2 linked regions of the Mytilus edulis genome follow. Each later gene encodes a partner of the first gene's protein in a complex. Links are inferred from orthologs where the notes say so. Each region holds a gene or a part of one and is shown on either strand. Other genes may lie near its edges.

Evidence for each region. The genes of interacting proteins can lie anywhere in the genome.
Region 2: the proteins of large ribosomal subunit protein uL2-like (region 1) and ribosomal oxygenase 1-like are in contact, whole or in part, in a crystal structure (PDB 4CCN), measured with the Homo sapiens proteins. The link is inferred for Mytilus edulis from reciprocal best matches to the Homo sapiens genes RPL8 and RIOX1. Residues at the interface, in NP_000964.1 of Homo sapiens: Gly213, Gly214, Asn215, His216, Gln217, His218, Ile219, Lys221, Pro222; in NP_078920.2 of Homo sapiens: Gly259, Gln260, Arg272, Thr274, Arg297, Met322, Ala323, Gly324, Ser325, Asn326, Tyr328, Phe337, His340, Asp342, Ile344, Ser374, Asn376, Thr419, Ser421, Thr422, Gln424, Tyr577.

What each region holds. Positions count from the first base shown.
Region 1 is NC_092346.1:81,980,529-81,988,474, forward strand, and holds the start of large ribosomal subunit protein uL2-like, read left to right. Parts: upstream 1-4,892; 5' UTR 4,893-4,994; intron 4,995-6,128; 5' UTR 6,129-6,131; coding exon 6,132-6,269; intron 6,270-7,793; coding exon 7,794-7,935; intron 7,936-7,946. UniProt on the Homo sapiens protein: Component of the large ribosomal subunit. The ribosome is a large ribonucleoprotein complex responsible for the synthesis of proteins in the cell.
Region 2 is NC_092346.1:91,075,110-91,082,876, reverse strand, and holds the start of ribosomal oxygenase 1-like, read left to right. Parts: upstream 1-4,607; 5' UTR 4,608-4,694; coding exon 4,695-4,736; intron 4,737-7,767. Other genes in the region: myb-like protein X, read right to left, coding at 64-164, 661-961, 1,437-1,662, 1,995-2,027. UniProt on the Homo sapiens protein: Oxygenase that can act as both a histone lysine demethylase and a ribosomal histidine hydroxylase. Specifically demethylates 'Lys-4' (H3K4me) and 'Lys-36' (H3K36me) of histone H3, thereby playing a central role in histone code.

The DNA.
Region 1 (7,946 bases):
TTGCCGAATTTACGGGCTTTAATTGGACCAAGGATTTGAATCCTTGATTGGACTTTGGTAAATTGTTGAAAATCACAGTTATACAGACTTTTTATACAAAAGCCCTCAGATATTGGGCTGGTTTTTGGTATGTATAAGTTAACCATGATGAGTTACAAGTCAAGTTTAAGTTTAGTTCCGCTCTACTGAATTTTGCCTCAATGAAGGGTTTACGACTTTGAAAATTGTTGAAAATCACAGTAATACGGACTTTATTTCTATACGCCTTCAGAATTTGAGCTGATTTTCGATATATGTGAGACTACCATCATGTTTGTGTCCACATGTGTTATTGAAATTGCAGATTTTTCGACACATCTTGCTTCAAAGTTGACCGATATGCATAGAATTTGGCAGAAAAGGGATGACAATACTTAACAATGAGTAATGTTTTTTTACCGAGAGATATTAAAAAAATATGTAACGGGATCTGAATGGTGTTCGTTATTTTGTTTTCATTTCCCCGATCTGGTTTCGTAAATTTCCTATATCTATATCGTTAACGGGAAGCTTCATACCAAAGACAGAGATTTAATTTATTTTATGTAAATATGACAATGACAATGATGGTCGTAGTATGAACGTAGTCAGGTCGTAAGAAGAGCGCAACGAGGACGACAAGGGCGTGCTAGAATCGTACTATGATCATGAACAGCGTGGTATAGTCGTAGCGGAAGCGTAGACAGGTCGCGATGAGAACGTGATGGTCGTAGTGAGGTCGTAATAACGTCGCTGTATGATCGTATTGCAATATCTCCGAATAGAATCATGCTTTCGCTACGCTCCCGCTACGATGGTATAGCGACCTTTGCGATCTTACTACGACCTTAGTGCGCGCTCACTACGCTTCTATTACGACCTGATTTCGCAACGACCGCACCACGATTGTTTTGAACATGTTCAAAGTTGACAACGCTCATCACGATCTTGAAGACCTCACCACGACCGTGATACGACCTTACTGCGATCTACACGATCGTACTACGATCATCAAAATTTGCATTATTTCCACAGATCGTCGTATTAATCGGAAATAGAAGGAATGGAACTGTATTGATATGGAGCACGATGTTGACGTTATTGCTGAGAACGTAGTAAGATCGCGGTGTGAACGTAGTATAATCGTGGTAAGAACGTGCTATAATCGCAGTAGAATCGTGGTAAGATCGTGTTGCAATCGGATAACTCGTGACATGGTCGTGGTGAGAACGTGATGAGCGTAGAGAGATAAGCGTAGTGAGGTCGAAGAATAAGCGCGGTGAGAACGTGGTATAACCGTAGCGGGATCGTTGTAAAAGCGTGATAAGGACGTGGTAGCATCGTGAAAGCAACGAAAATTTACATTTTGATGCCGCTCATACCGCGACATCACCACGATCTGAATTCATTTTAAATCGCGGTGAGCGTGGTGCGATCGTGGTCTAGTGGGACTGGGGCTGAATTGCTTCTTTTATAGATAATCTTCAGAAGAGGTTCAGTCTTTTTTTTGGCCACAATCATCATTGGGGTATCTAGTTTAAAAAATGTGTGGCGTGACCTGGCCAATCAAAGAAGATGGCCGCCATGGCTAAAAATAGAACATAGGGGTAAAATGCAGATTTTGGTTTATAACTCAAAAACTAAAGCATTTAGAGCAAATCTGACATATGTTAAATTGTTTATCAGGTCAAGATCTATCTGCCCTGAAATTTTCAGATGAATCAGACAACCCATTTTTGGGTTGCTGTCCCTGAATTGGTAATTTTAAGGAAATTTTGCTGGTTTTGGTTATTATCTTGAATATTAATATAGATAGAGATAAACTGTAAACAGCAATAATGTTCAGCAAAGTAAGATTTACAAATAAGTCATCACGATTGAAATGGTCAGTGGACCCCTTTAGGAGTTATTGTCCTTTATAGTCAATTTTTAACAATTTTTCGTAAATTTTAGTAATCTTTTACAAAAATCTTCTCCTCTGAAACTACTGGGCAGAATTAATTCAAACTTGGCCACAATCATCTTTGGGGTATCTAGTTTAAAAAATGTGTTCGGTGACCCGACCATCCAACCAAAATGGCTACCACGGCTAATAATAGAACATAGGGGTAAAATGCAGTTTTTGGCTTATAACTCAAAAACCGAAGCATTAAGAGAAAATCTGACAGGGTTTAATTGTTAATCAGGTCAAGATCTATCTGCCCTGATATTTTCACATGGATCGAACAACCCGTTGTTAGGTTACTGTCCTGAATTGGTAATTTTAAGGAAATTTTGCCGTTTTTTGTTATTATCTTGAATATTATTATAGATTGAGATAAACTGTATACAGCAATAACGTTCAGCAAAATAAGATCTACAAATAAGTTTACATGACCAAAATAGTCAATTGACCCCTTAAGGAGTTATTGCCCTTTATAGTTAATTTTTAACATTTTTCATAAATTTTTGTAAATTTTTAGAAAATATTTTCCACTGTAATTACTGGGCCAAGTTCATTATAGATAGAGATAATTGTAGCAACAAGAATGTTCAGTAAAGTAAGATCTACAAACACATCACCATCACCAAAACACAATTATGTCATGAATGTATCTGCATGTGTCCATTGTTTAATATGCACAAGACCTAGGGGAGCGACACAGGCTCTTTAGAGCCTCTAGTTTTATGATTTTCTGATTACGTTTTCTCCTTGTGCTATACCATCGTACTTTAGCAAACAATCATCCATCGTACTTTAGCGTGAAACACCATCGCACTTTAGCGTATACCATCGCACTTTAGCGTGACCATCGCACTTTAGAGTACCATCGCACTTTAGAGTCCTACATATATATAGACGAAAGACATATTAAACAATATTGTATGTTATCAATCGTGTCGGTCCTTGTCAGACAAGATACTGGCATGAACACCGTAATACAACAATAAGCGAACAAAAATGGTATCTGTTAAAAAAATGCCTGCCAGTTCTATATACACAATATAATAAAACATAAAGTAAAATATGAGCAATAAAGTAGTGTTTGGTGAAGTAATGTCAATTCTATCAAGAATAATGTTTAAGTTAACAGGAAACAGAACAAGCTACAAATATTATATAACAAGATTGTCCGCGATAGTGGTTATACACGTGATACTCATTGCTTCTGTGCAAGGTTCACCAAGGGACGTTGCTCTAGAACTCAATAAAAGCCTGGAATCAAAACGAAGAAAAAGGTAAATCCCATCAATACTTTTCCAGGGGCGGATCCAGCCATTTTCAAAAGGGGTTCCCAACCCAGGATAAATAATGTCCCATTCAAATGCATTGATCGTCCGGCATAAAAAAAGAGCCCGGGAGGTTTCAATCCCAGGAACCCTCCTGGCTCCTCCAGGATCCGCCACTATTTTATATTTCATGAAAAGTTAATCCCAGAGAAAAGGTCTCCTTCACTACCGTTGTAAAACCCTTTCCAAAGTGGTGCGGTCGTAAAATTGGCTGTGTTATCAAAAATTAACGTACTAGAAGACGGGCCAGAATGAGATCTTGAAATCTTAAGTGTAACATGAAGTACACGTTAGTCATACACATTTCAGTATTACCAGGGACTGTAGACTGTCACTGGTTTAGGTTACGATAACATTTAATTTTAAGCCCATGTTGATTTTTTTTTCACGGAAAAGAGTCGCTGAATTTTGCGTCCGGCACATCAAGGTAACACCAGATACATATGTACTGTATGGTAACATGACTCTTCATTTTATTTTGTTATCAGTGATGCCACGTGGAGATTAGGGGACTGAATCATAACCCTTGGCCTTTCAACGTATATGTGTTCCGCCTAACAGAAGTTCCACTGCATGGAAACTTTATTATAAACAATGTCATAATATCTGTTCCTGTTGGAACAAATATTATTAAATAAACCAAATAAAAAACCCTTGTATGTTGATCAATGCAAATCCAAATGTTAACTGCTCGTACTTTATCTATTGAAAGAGGGCGGTATCTAAAAATACCAAAGGTTAAGCAGAGTAGGGTATGTCTTTGCTGCAACAATGGAGACATTGAAGATGAACTACACTTTCTTTTAAAATGTTCATCCTATAACTATGTTAGAGATAACCTTATAAAAAATGAAATAATGTTCTATTGAACATCAAATTACTTTCTTTATCATATAACTTGCTTCTATCAATTTTAAATAGTAATTTCCCAACAATATTTAAAATTGTTGTCAACTATTTGAATGACTGCTTGTTGAGAAACTCATTATTAAAAGGTACTTGATTTCTGCAATAATTTATATGCTTCTCTTTAATTTTTATATATTTTACTCATAATTATCCACTGTCACTCCTTCATTGTATATATGTTATTATGTCAGGCGGTGACGAAATTCCGTTATATGTATATGTATATGATTGACATACTTGGGTAGGATAGCTACGGATGATTCCGACAACAAATGTAGTCGTGTTATACACCATTGTAAAGATAAATCAATTTAGATTTACGATATAACAAGTGTTAGTGGGGTTGACAGTCTAGAAAGCGGCATATAACGGAATTTCGTCACCACCTGATATTTTTCTAAAATGCAAGTTAAGTACCTTGTGTTATTTTAAAATATATAGGGAAAAAAATTCTGAAACAAGTGCCGCTGTGGACTTTCTATACTAACTAGTATAGAAAGTCCCTGTCTTATCAGATATCTTATACCATTTATTCCGTTAGGAACATTTACTGTGATATTTATTCCATTTGTAACTTTTATTATAAAGGAACTTTTATTCCGTGACAGGCCAGCGAACATAAAAATTACTAAACACTCTCCGTTTGATTTATTAAAATGTTCATTGTTGTCTTTGCTTTCCAATTTAATATTGCTGGTACTTAGTGAAAATGATCTGGTACCTTGGGTGTAAAAATGTTTTTGAAAAACCAGTCACCATCAACTTCCTTTTCCGGTCTATATTTTTACTAGATACCCGTGAGTGAAATATTATCGCTAGAAATCCATCTTAATCTTTTGAATTTTGCCTCATAAAACATAGTTTGTCACCATTATACATTCAAATTATATGTCTTCTTTTTAAAAATTAGATAAAACCCAAGTAATTTATATACATTTCTAACCAAAAACCATGCAGGTCCTCTGTTAGGGCAATCATGATATATGTGTTACTGACGATTTATGTATTTATGTGTGCTTTAATGGTTCACCGAAATAGTACCAAGCTTTTCTTCTGAACGAAGTATTAAGATTGCATATTATTACAACGGTAGTAGGTAGGTTACTGTCGATTTTAACTTTTAAAAGCTGATGAATATTAAATCCCCATTGCTGCATCAGAATCCTCCTTTTTGACAGCAATCTGCACCGTTAGTCACTATTGGGTATGGAGAAGTGGCAGGCACAATCGAGCAATTGTAAGCAACCTTTCAGGCTTCAAAAACAATTACATTTCATGCCCATACTGTTTACTATCCGTGTAAAGTCCTGTGATGTCCATTGTCAGACGCGGCCCTAGCTTGTCTGGCTAAACAGCCATTGGATTCAAGTATTCTTTAGTGCCTTGGAGTGCATAGTAATACTGGACTTAAATAGGCCATGGCATGTAAAATGTGAAGTAGTCCTATTGAGAAACTAACCCAGTCTTCTCCACGAGTGGCAGCCCAGGCTGGTAAAATTGCTCTCGGGCCTATAAAAATCAGACCTACAGGCCAACAGAATCTAACTAAAAAATTTCAAAAATTGAGCTGCGGGCCTGTAGATTTAGCAGTTCAGCGTGAAGACTGACTAACCGCATAATTAGTAAATTATTTATAATTACACAGGTTAATAGGTAATCTTTTATACCAAGTTTATTTCAAGGATTGACAAGATGGCCTAAGACAGTAGCCTAAGTAGTTGTGTAGTTTGGTGTCCCCGACTATTTACTGTCATATACTTGAAGCAGGTAAAAATTGAAAAGAACATATTTGCCTTGTATAAAAATCTTACCTTCAATGATGACCATGCTGCAGTTTTATATGGATATGTATAATTTTCAAGGTTGTCATGCTCAATTGAACAATTTCATGTCCGAGGAATCATTGATGATAAAAGTTTGCTTGTTTTCAGATAATGGGAAGAGTAATTAGGTCCCAGAGAAAAGGGCCTGGAAGTGTTTTCAAGGCCCGCACAAGAAACAAAAAGGGTAGAGCAGCTTTTAGACCAGTTGATTTTGCTGAGAGACATGGTTACATAAAAGGATGTATCAAGGTATAAGTAATATTAATTTTAGAATGCAGTTATTCAACTCTAGGCTCAAAGTTGTAAAATATCTGTTATTGCTATTATAATGTGATTGAATACACCATGAATGAATGCAGGGACTCGACTTTATTTTTTTTTCTCCCAAAGATTATTGGGTTCCACCAGAAATTTAAGGTGCCTTACCAGTTTTGATACTAATTTATACAAATGTGCTTATTAGTCAATTTTTAAGATGAAGAGAGCTACAGTGCATACATATTTTTTTTTTATTAATCTATAAAAGCATAACCATAGATGCCAACCATTACGATTTTTCCGTAGTTTTTCTGATTTTGCGATAAAAACTACGCTATTACGGTCAAAGTCGAATAGTTACGGATTCCCAATCATCGACGTTCAATTTTGTAAAACACGGATTTTTATCATTACTTTTCCGTCCTGGTCCAGTATTTAGGAAACGCCAATGTAATGCTTCCGGTTTCTCGGGAGTTATCAACCTATTGTTGGGTAACTGACTGACTTCCGAAGAGGCAAACTTGCATTTTATTAAGCAGCTTTCCTCCTTTCTCTACTTCTCCTTGACAAAACAAAAATGTTTGAGTCGAGAACATCTGAACAATTAATGAATGGAATACATACTACAGACAACATGTTAAATGACAAATTTTAGTGTACATCACTTTGCAACTCGTCAGTAATTTTTATTGGTAAATGCACGTTTATGAATGATTACTCAAAACTTTTCAAAAATACGGAAAATTTGATAGTTTGTTACTGATTGTGTCAAAAGGGGGTTGGCATCTATGCATAATTAGCAGAGACTTTCAAATTTTATATCAATTTGACAGAGACGTAATGAACATTCAGGGGTACTACTGAAACAAGTGATTTCAAAATCACTTCTTTGAGTGATATTGGCTGTGAAATATTTAAAATTTTCACACAGACTTTTCAAAATCACTGAAACAAGAAATTTGAGAAGTTAAATAGTTATCTTTTCTTGATCCTCGTGACGTCACGACGAAATTCAATATGGCGGAATAAAATAGGCGGAGAATGTATACAAATGGAAATAATTAGATAATAGTGTTAAGGAAATGAATATTCAAACATAAATAGGTACGTCATATCCTAGAAAAATATCTAACAAAAACGAACTATATATATTGACAAGTTTTGCATGGATTATAAACAATATTTTTTTGAGAAATAAGTGCGACCTGAACCTGGTCACAATTCCGAACGTTTTGAAATAGGAAAAATCCGTAGCTCTATGGTCCGCAAATAGTCAAAAAATAACATAAGGACCTAAGAGATATGATTCCGCAGCTACCCTGACTGATGAAAGAAACAGTAGTTTTATGGTTTAGCAGAAATAGTAGCAGTGTTTAAATTGATGTTTTAAAACCCTTTGATTTTGCTTTAAATTTTTGTATTTGGGAATCTCCTTGTTTAGCACTTATTGTGTACCATAAACCTACATTGTACATGTGCCTTTTAAAAAAAATACAAAGATTTTATGTATTTTAGGACATTATACATGACTCTGGTCGTGGTGCTCCTCTTGCTAAAGTGGTATTCAGAGATCCATATAGATTTAAACAAAGAATGGAGACCTTTGTAGCAGCCGAAGGAATGTACACTGGGCAATTTGTTTATTGTGGCAAAAAAGGTATACAACTA
Region 2 (7,767 bases), about 9.1 Mb from region 1:
AGTCTGTACCAAGAATACAGTTACTGCTAATATTTAATATTATGTTACAGGAACATACAATACCTTCATTGTGACTAGGTGGCAGTGTTAGAGCCAGAAATTTCTCTGTGTTTAACTTGACATCATGATTCTGTTGGTTGATACCTTCTAACTCAGACTTTATCCTGAAATATACAAACATTCTCATAACTATCTTCACCTAAGTGGTAGTACCAATAACCATGTCAGTATTTGATGAATTGGCACCAAGAACCCATTGTAAGTAATGTACACTGATATATTCATTCAACTAAGAGATCCTAACTTTATCTATTTTTCTTGTTACATGTAACTAAGGATGCAGTCTATCACAGATATTTTCTAAACAGTTTCTTGTTTTTAAATGATAACGGATCAGTCGATCTTACAGATTGTATTTTACTATGGGGACTTTGTAGGACAAAGAAAAATATTAATTCATTAATGTGATTATAAGACAAACATGAGTGTGTAAGCAACCAAAATTTTTCACCAGATAGTGAGATACAATGACTGGTATTTTAAATTGACTGGAGATAATTGTTGCTTTAGAGTTTAATGCTTAAATATTGTGAGTTTAGGTTCAATGGATAGTCTAATTTTCTAAGTATTTTGTGCATACCAAGCTTTATTCTTATTTACCTCCTTTCCAATATCATTCTATCCTTTTTAACTTCTCTCTCTCGTTTTATCTTTTTGGACAGAATTCTGTCCAACTTTCTCATTTTCAAAATGGCTTCTTTCATTTTAGGATCCATGTCTTCTTGACCTGTATCCCTGTCTGACTCTTCTGCCCTAGAACTACCTGCTTCTAAGGCTGCCACCTTGGCTTGGTACAATTCCAATTCAGATTTCATTTCCCCTCGGATCTGTTTTTGAATCTCATCTTTTATTTCTTTCATTATTTCTTTTTCTTCATCACTGTCCACATCAATACCATCTTCTACAATTCATCAAATATAATCATCATCATTTTTCAAAGAACAATATTTACCCCAATAATAATATGTGGTTAAAATCAAAAATATGTAAAGAAAATTAAAGTGATGGAATGTACATTATTTTGACAGAGAGCATCATCCTACTTTACTGAAATCAATACACAAACTTGACTTCTGATATAACAGGTAAAATCTACTCTACTGCTCACTAAAGATACCCAGGCTTTATGTAAATGTTTCTCAGCTAAAATTGTATTGATGGGCGACATCTTTGAGTTTGAAAGACCATTGATTGTCTGTTTATCGCTATTTGGCCTATGACCTTGTTGATTTTTACAATGACAATGGCACATATGCATGCGCATTTTGTTACTAACTATAATTTATTTTATCCCCCAAAAAATAGCAATATATGAAAACTGAATAACTAAACAGATTAAAGGAAAAATACCCCAAATAGCAATAATATTACATTACCATAAGGTAGAAGTCCTCCATGCTGCTTGTCATTGTCACTTCCCTCAGCACCACTTAAACCTTGTAAGTTTATGGACAGTTCATCAGGTAATTTTTCCTTTTTCACTTCCTGGTTCATCAACATAGGGTCGTCTTCCCATTCTGATGATTCATCAGACATTTCAAAATTATGTGAATGTGATTTGTTTGTATCCAGTGATTCAAGATTTAAATGAAGATCCATGTCCTGGAAAAGAAAATTTCAAAATCAGCACAAACATTTCATTTTCAAATTTGTATGTGTGCTTGGGTGGAGAGTTGTCTCATTGGCACTCGTACCACATCTTTCTATAATCCTTTTTTATCTGGTTCATTTTGAAAAGAATATACAAGTATATCTATCTATAACTGGTTTTATTTTGTTAGTACATGTACATGTATCTATTGGGACCTTATCATTGAAGAAAAGAATGATGACCCAACATGCTTGGTTTTTTTGTGCTTTTCGTCCACATTTAACCCCATTTAAAAGGCCTTTTAAATATGGAATAAAAAAGTGGAGTTACAATTTAAACTTACTTCTAAATCTGGATTATCACTATGGCCATTCATCTTTTAATTTTTATGTTAATTCTTCAATAAACCTTCTCTGATTTAAACTGACACTATTGTAATTGAATATAACATAATTCAGTCACTGAACCTAAAATTATAATATATGTATTTAATATATACTGAATATAATAATATATATGTGAATAAGTTAATTACTACATCTTAGTATAAAAAAACACCAATTGGTTCAACAGTATGGGAAAACTCTTTGATTTGTCTATTAAATTGTAAAATATCTCTAAACATGCTAAATGTATATATACAGCTCTTATCATTTCACAAAATATCAGTGGATTTATCAGTAAAATACAGTAATTAATATTATGACACAATTTGTTTCCCACATTTTATCATTAAAACAAGTACTAGTGAAATGCAATATGTATAAATACCGGACCATACAAAATTACCGGGATAAACTCATCTGGTCATGCATTTGATTTTGTGCATGTCTTAGGAAAATAGCTCATTTACAATACAGAAAAGTTTTTATACAATGAAATTATTGAAATATAGTTTAGTTTGAACGAAACAGACTGTCAAGAATTGGTTGCAATATATTTTTTCAATTAGATAAAAATTTGACAACCATTTTTATCTGATGATGTGATGTTTTCAATTATTATTTTTTAGCATGAGCTCTTCAACTTCAATCACTTTGATGCTTCATAAAATAACAAAAATAATTTTATTTGATATACATGTCGAATATCATATGGTCTTGTAATGCTAGATATCCCAAGCCGTGTAGACTAGAGGATTCCACTGTAATCATATGTTGCCTGGTAAATGTCATACAATTTTATTTTTTACTTTTAAAATTTAAGTGATGAAGAAAAAAATTGCTTATACTTTCATCTATTTTGACAATCCTTTCGTAAATTGCCAATACACCTTCAATTGCTATTTGTCCGCCATTACTGAATATCACAAAAGTTCCCGTAAAAATTGACGTCATAATAGAAAATATCTGATGCCACAATGGAAAAGGGATTGTTGTATGACATCAAAACTTCAAGCGGGACAGAATGAGATTCTCAGGTCAAGCGGGAATAGCGATAAGGTGTATTTGTAACAGCCACTATGTTCCGTCAGTTACTTTGTTCCGGCGAAACTTTTCAACAAGTTGTTTTATTCCGAGTGCAATCTAAGTTCCGGAAAAAAGTGGCTAGTTGAAAAGTCCCAGAACAATGTAGCTCGTTGAATAGTTCTGGCGGAACAGAACAACTAGTTAATTCAGTCAGAATGTTGCCTTCATAACAGAATAAGTTCTAATTTATTGTTATACATTAATCTTAAATTGAGGATATTTTTAAAACTACCCACATGAGGAGGAACTTTTGAGCTAGTTTGTTAGTTCCTGTTTTGACTAATTTGCCAAAGAGGAACTTTGTGACTAGTTGATAAGTTCCTTTTGACTTTTGTAATCAGTAGAGTATATTGGTTCCCCTTTGAAAGGTTCAAATATAAAATGTTGCGCTTTTACTTTGTATGTATTCTCCAAATGAAACTTTGTGACTGGTTGATAAGTTCCGTTGGAACTTTTGGGCTAGTTTGTTAGTTCCGGTTTTGACTAATTTGGCAAAAAGGAACTTTCTAACTAGTTGATATGTTCCGTTGGAACTTTTCAAAAAGTCACTTTGATCCAGTGAAACTTTTAAACCAGAGGAAGAACAAAGTAACTCTTATCTGGGCCTATTATAGCTGACTATGCGGTATGGGCTTTGCTCATTGTTGAAGGCCATACGGTGACCTATAGTTGTTAATGTCTGTGTCATTTTGGTCTTTTGTGGATAGTTGTCTCATTGGCAATCATACCACATCTTCTTTTTTATAGTTTTAAATAAGTTCCCCCTGAACTTTTCGGCTAGTTTGTTCTTTCCGCCTGGAACTTTCCAACGTCGGAACAAAAGAGCTTTTACATATTCAGGCAAAGGGAATTTCAGTGTCCATGGACTTGGATTCAACAGTCCAACAGACCACATCAACCATCAACTCCTTCCTTGTTGTCAAACATGTTATATATAGAACAATTCTATAATAAATTAGAAATAAACTTCTTACTTATTACATTATTGTATAAAACTTAATTAATTACCAGAAATTGCAGATAGTTGACACAATTTCCATGGTGATCATACGCACAAATTATCTAGTTCACTTTAAAACGAAGTACACAGTCAAATAAAGCAAATTTTTCAAAGACAAACAGGTCAATTGAGACGTCACCTAAAAGTTACTGATACAGGATAATTTTTAGAGGTGTAGGTCACATTTCAAGTGAGAATTCTGGACGAATACTAGCTTTTGACATTCATTTTGGTATGTGAAAAAATCAAAACTTCCGGTAACTGACTTCCGATTTCCACAGACGATTCTACTTTTATTGATAGGTGATTTGATTACAATATTAAAAATAAAAATGTTTCTAACTCTCACAAAAATTCCATAGAAATATTCATTATTTATATAGTACCAAGCTACATTCATTTTAAACGTTAAACTTAATTCCAATACAAAAATATTGCTTATTGTTGTTGGTTTAAGAAAAGAAATATCACCCAAAATAATAGATTCACCCTTGTAACAACTTCCGTTCCAAAAAAGCCATGTGGATGGCGGGTTGAAATGAAAATTTAAACATAGTATAATATCTATTTCAAAATGAAGAAAGTGTCTGCATTTTCTGTTTTTCGTTCACGTAAGGTAATAAAACACGTGTTATGATTACAGTCATTGAATTCATCAAAATCAAAGACCTAATTTATCCTCGCTTTCGACACGTTTCAGCCACACGAGCCTTTCGTACAGGTCGTTTCGGCCACATTACCACCTCGTCCACAGGTCGTTTCGGCCACATTACCAGCTCGGCCACACTACCATTCCGTCCACATTACCAGCTCGTCCACAGGTCGTTTCGGTCCCACTTCCAGTTCGTCCACAGGAGACTTTGTCAATACTTATTCATATTGCTTTTTAGTCTAAATAATTATGACGTCTTGGAAGGCTATTTTAAATTTTTGCTGTGATGCCTCAACTTTGAGACCCAATTTAGCCATAAAATTTTCATTGAAGGCTAAATTTTTTTGCATATATAAAAATTCTTACCTTTTATGTGTTTGTTTGTGCAAAATATTTCCAATTAATCCCTACAGTAATAATAAAATAAGTTACAATTCCATCCGAGGCGGGAACTTGTCGACTGCTTTTTTAAAAACGTTTATCTGATTTAATAAAGCAGTAAATTTCCTCTCAAAGGCCAACTGAAAATATGAGTTTGGTGTTATGACGTCGATGTAAGGCGTCAAAGAAAAAAAATATAATAGCCTTTCAAGATGATGTCAAAATTATTTGTACTAATTGCTGTTATGCTGAATAATCAATAATGGTCTTTTTTTTTAACAAGATTAAAAAAAAAAACAATCGTGTTCCATTTATGAAATTATGTTGCTTTTGAAGCCTTTTTGACCCAAATAAGTAGAATTGTTTCCTAGTATCATCAACCAGTTTGACACTAGTCAGGAAAAGTGGGGGCATTTCTTGTTTCCAGGGAACACCCCAGTTTTCTGCTGTTAAAATTTTTTTTTATAGGGACTTCCTTTTTTTCCCGTGTTGAACATGTAGTGCTGCTGCAGAGATTTCTACTAACCTAACTATGTTTTTGAATGGTAACCGATCTATAGACACACAGACATTATTGAGGGAAAAATAACATTCCTAATCGCTTGTTATTAATTCATCTTCAATAAATACTACATGATGTAGATGCGAAAAGATGTCATGGTAAAAGTTCCTCCATCTTTCAATTTTCATCCATTGAGATCACTGATTATTAACCGGATTTTTGTGACAAAAATGTCGGTTATTGATTTGGGGATGTACGGCGGGCGGGCGGGTGGGGCGGGCGGGCGGCAATCAAATGTTGTCCGTGCATTAACTCATGAACCGTTCAACTAAAGCTTTTAAAATTTTAATATGTTATTACTGACAACTATACGAAGGTCAAGTTCAATAATGGCGATTTTGACTTTTACCGTTCAGGAGTTATGGTTCTTGAAAGGCGGCAATCAAATGTTGTCCGTGCATTAACTCATGAACCGTTCAACCAAAGCTTTTAAAATTTTAATATGTTATTACTGACAACTATACGGAGGTCAAGTTCAATAATGGCGATTTTGACTTTTACCGTTCAGGAGTTATGGTTCTTGAAAGATTGAAAAATGGAGTTTTCAGTCGTGTCCGTGCATTTACTCATGAACTGTTCTACCAAAGCTTCCCAAATTTTAATATGTTGTTACTGAGGACAGAATGGAGGTCAAGTTCAATAATGACGATTTTGACTTTTACCGTTCAGGAGTTATGGTTCTTGAAAGATTGAAAAAAGGAGTTTTCAGTCGTGTCCTTGCATTTACTCATGAACTGTTCTACCAAAGCTTCCCAAATTTTAATATGTTGTTACTGAGGACAGAATGGAGGTCAAGTTCAATAATGACGATTTTGACTTTTACCGTTAAGGAGTTATGGTTCTTGAAAGATTAAAAAATGGAGTTTCCAGTCGTGTCCGTGCATTTATGCATGAACTGTTCTACCAAAGCTTCTGAAATTTTAATATGCTGTTACTGATGACAAAATGGAGGTCAAGTTCAATAATGACGATTTTGACTTTTACCGTTCAGGAGTTATGGCTCTTGAAAGATTGAAAAATGGTGTTTCCCGTTGTGTTCGTGCATTTTCTCATGAACCATTCAACCAAAGCTTTTGAAATTTTAATATGTTGTTACTGATGACAAAATAGAGGTCAAGTTCCATAATGACGATTTTGACTTTTACCGTTCAGGAGTTATGGTTCTTGAAAGATCGTAAAATGGCGTTTCCATTCACGTTGTTGCATTTACTCATGAACCATTCAATCTAAGCTTTTCAAATATTATTATTTCAAAATGTTGATACTGATGACAAAATGGAGGTCAAATTTGATATTGATGATTTTCGCTTTCACCATTCATCAGTAATGGTTCTTGTGATATTGCCAGGACACAAATAAATGTAAATAAATCCAGTTTGCTGTCGTTTTGACAGCCTCTTGTTAGAATAGTAGAATAGAATGAAATATACATGTAACTGTAACTGTGTTCTCTTGATACAACCTTCACTCTGTATTAAACTTCACTACATAATACTAGTCTCATGTACGTCACCCCATGATAATGTATGCCTTTAAAAAACCATTTACTGTGAAAGTATAAAGAATACAAAACTCATAATTAAAGTGCAAAACTACACAACAACACCGCTGCTGTGTTATTAAATATGTTACACATGAACATTCAAAAACACATATGTATATAATATTATACCAAAAAGAAAAACAACCCTCCAGTCCTATCAATCCTATATATCTTATAAATGATTAAAAAAGGGGGGACTAATTGAATAAATTAAAATTTACCAAGTGTTAAATGAGAGAGAACCTCTCGCTTTGGCGCTGTTGTGCTGAATGACCAAAACCCCCGTTTCGGCGGGAAACTGACCACATGATAAGTACGACACCGATACATCATGAAAAGACAAGCGAAAATAATTTCACTCTAATTCACTACGTTCAAACGTATGAAATTATATTTATACACAAATATTTAGCATAAATAAGCATAAAGCATAAAAGATTTATTTAAAGTCGGTTATACATATACAGTGGCGGATCCAGAACTTTTCCTAAGGGAGGGGGGGGGGGGCC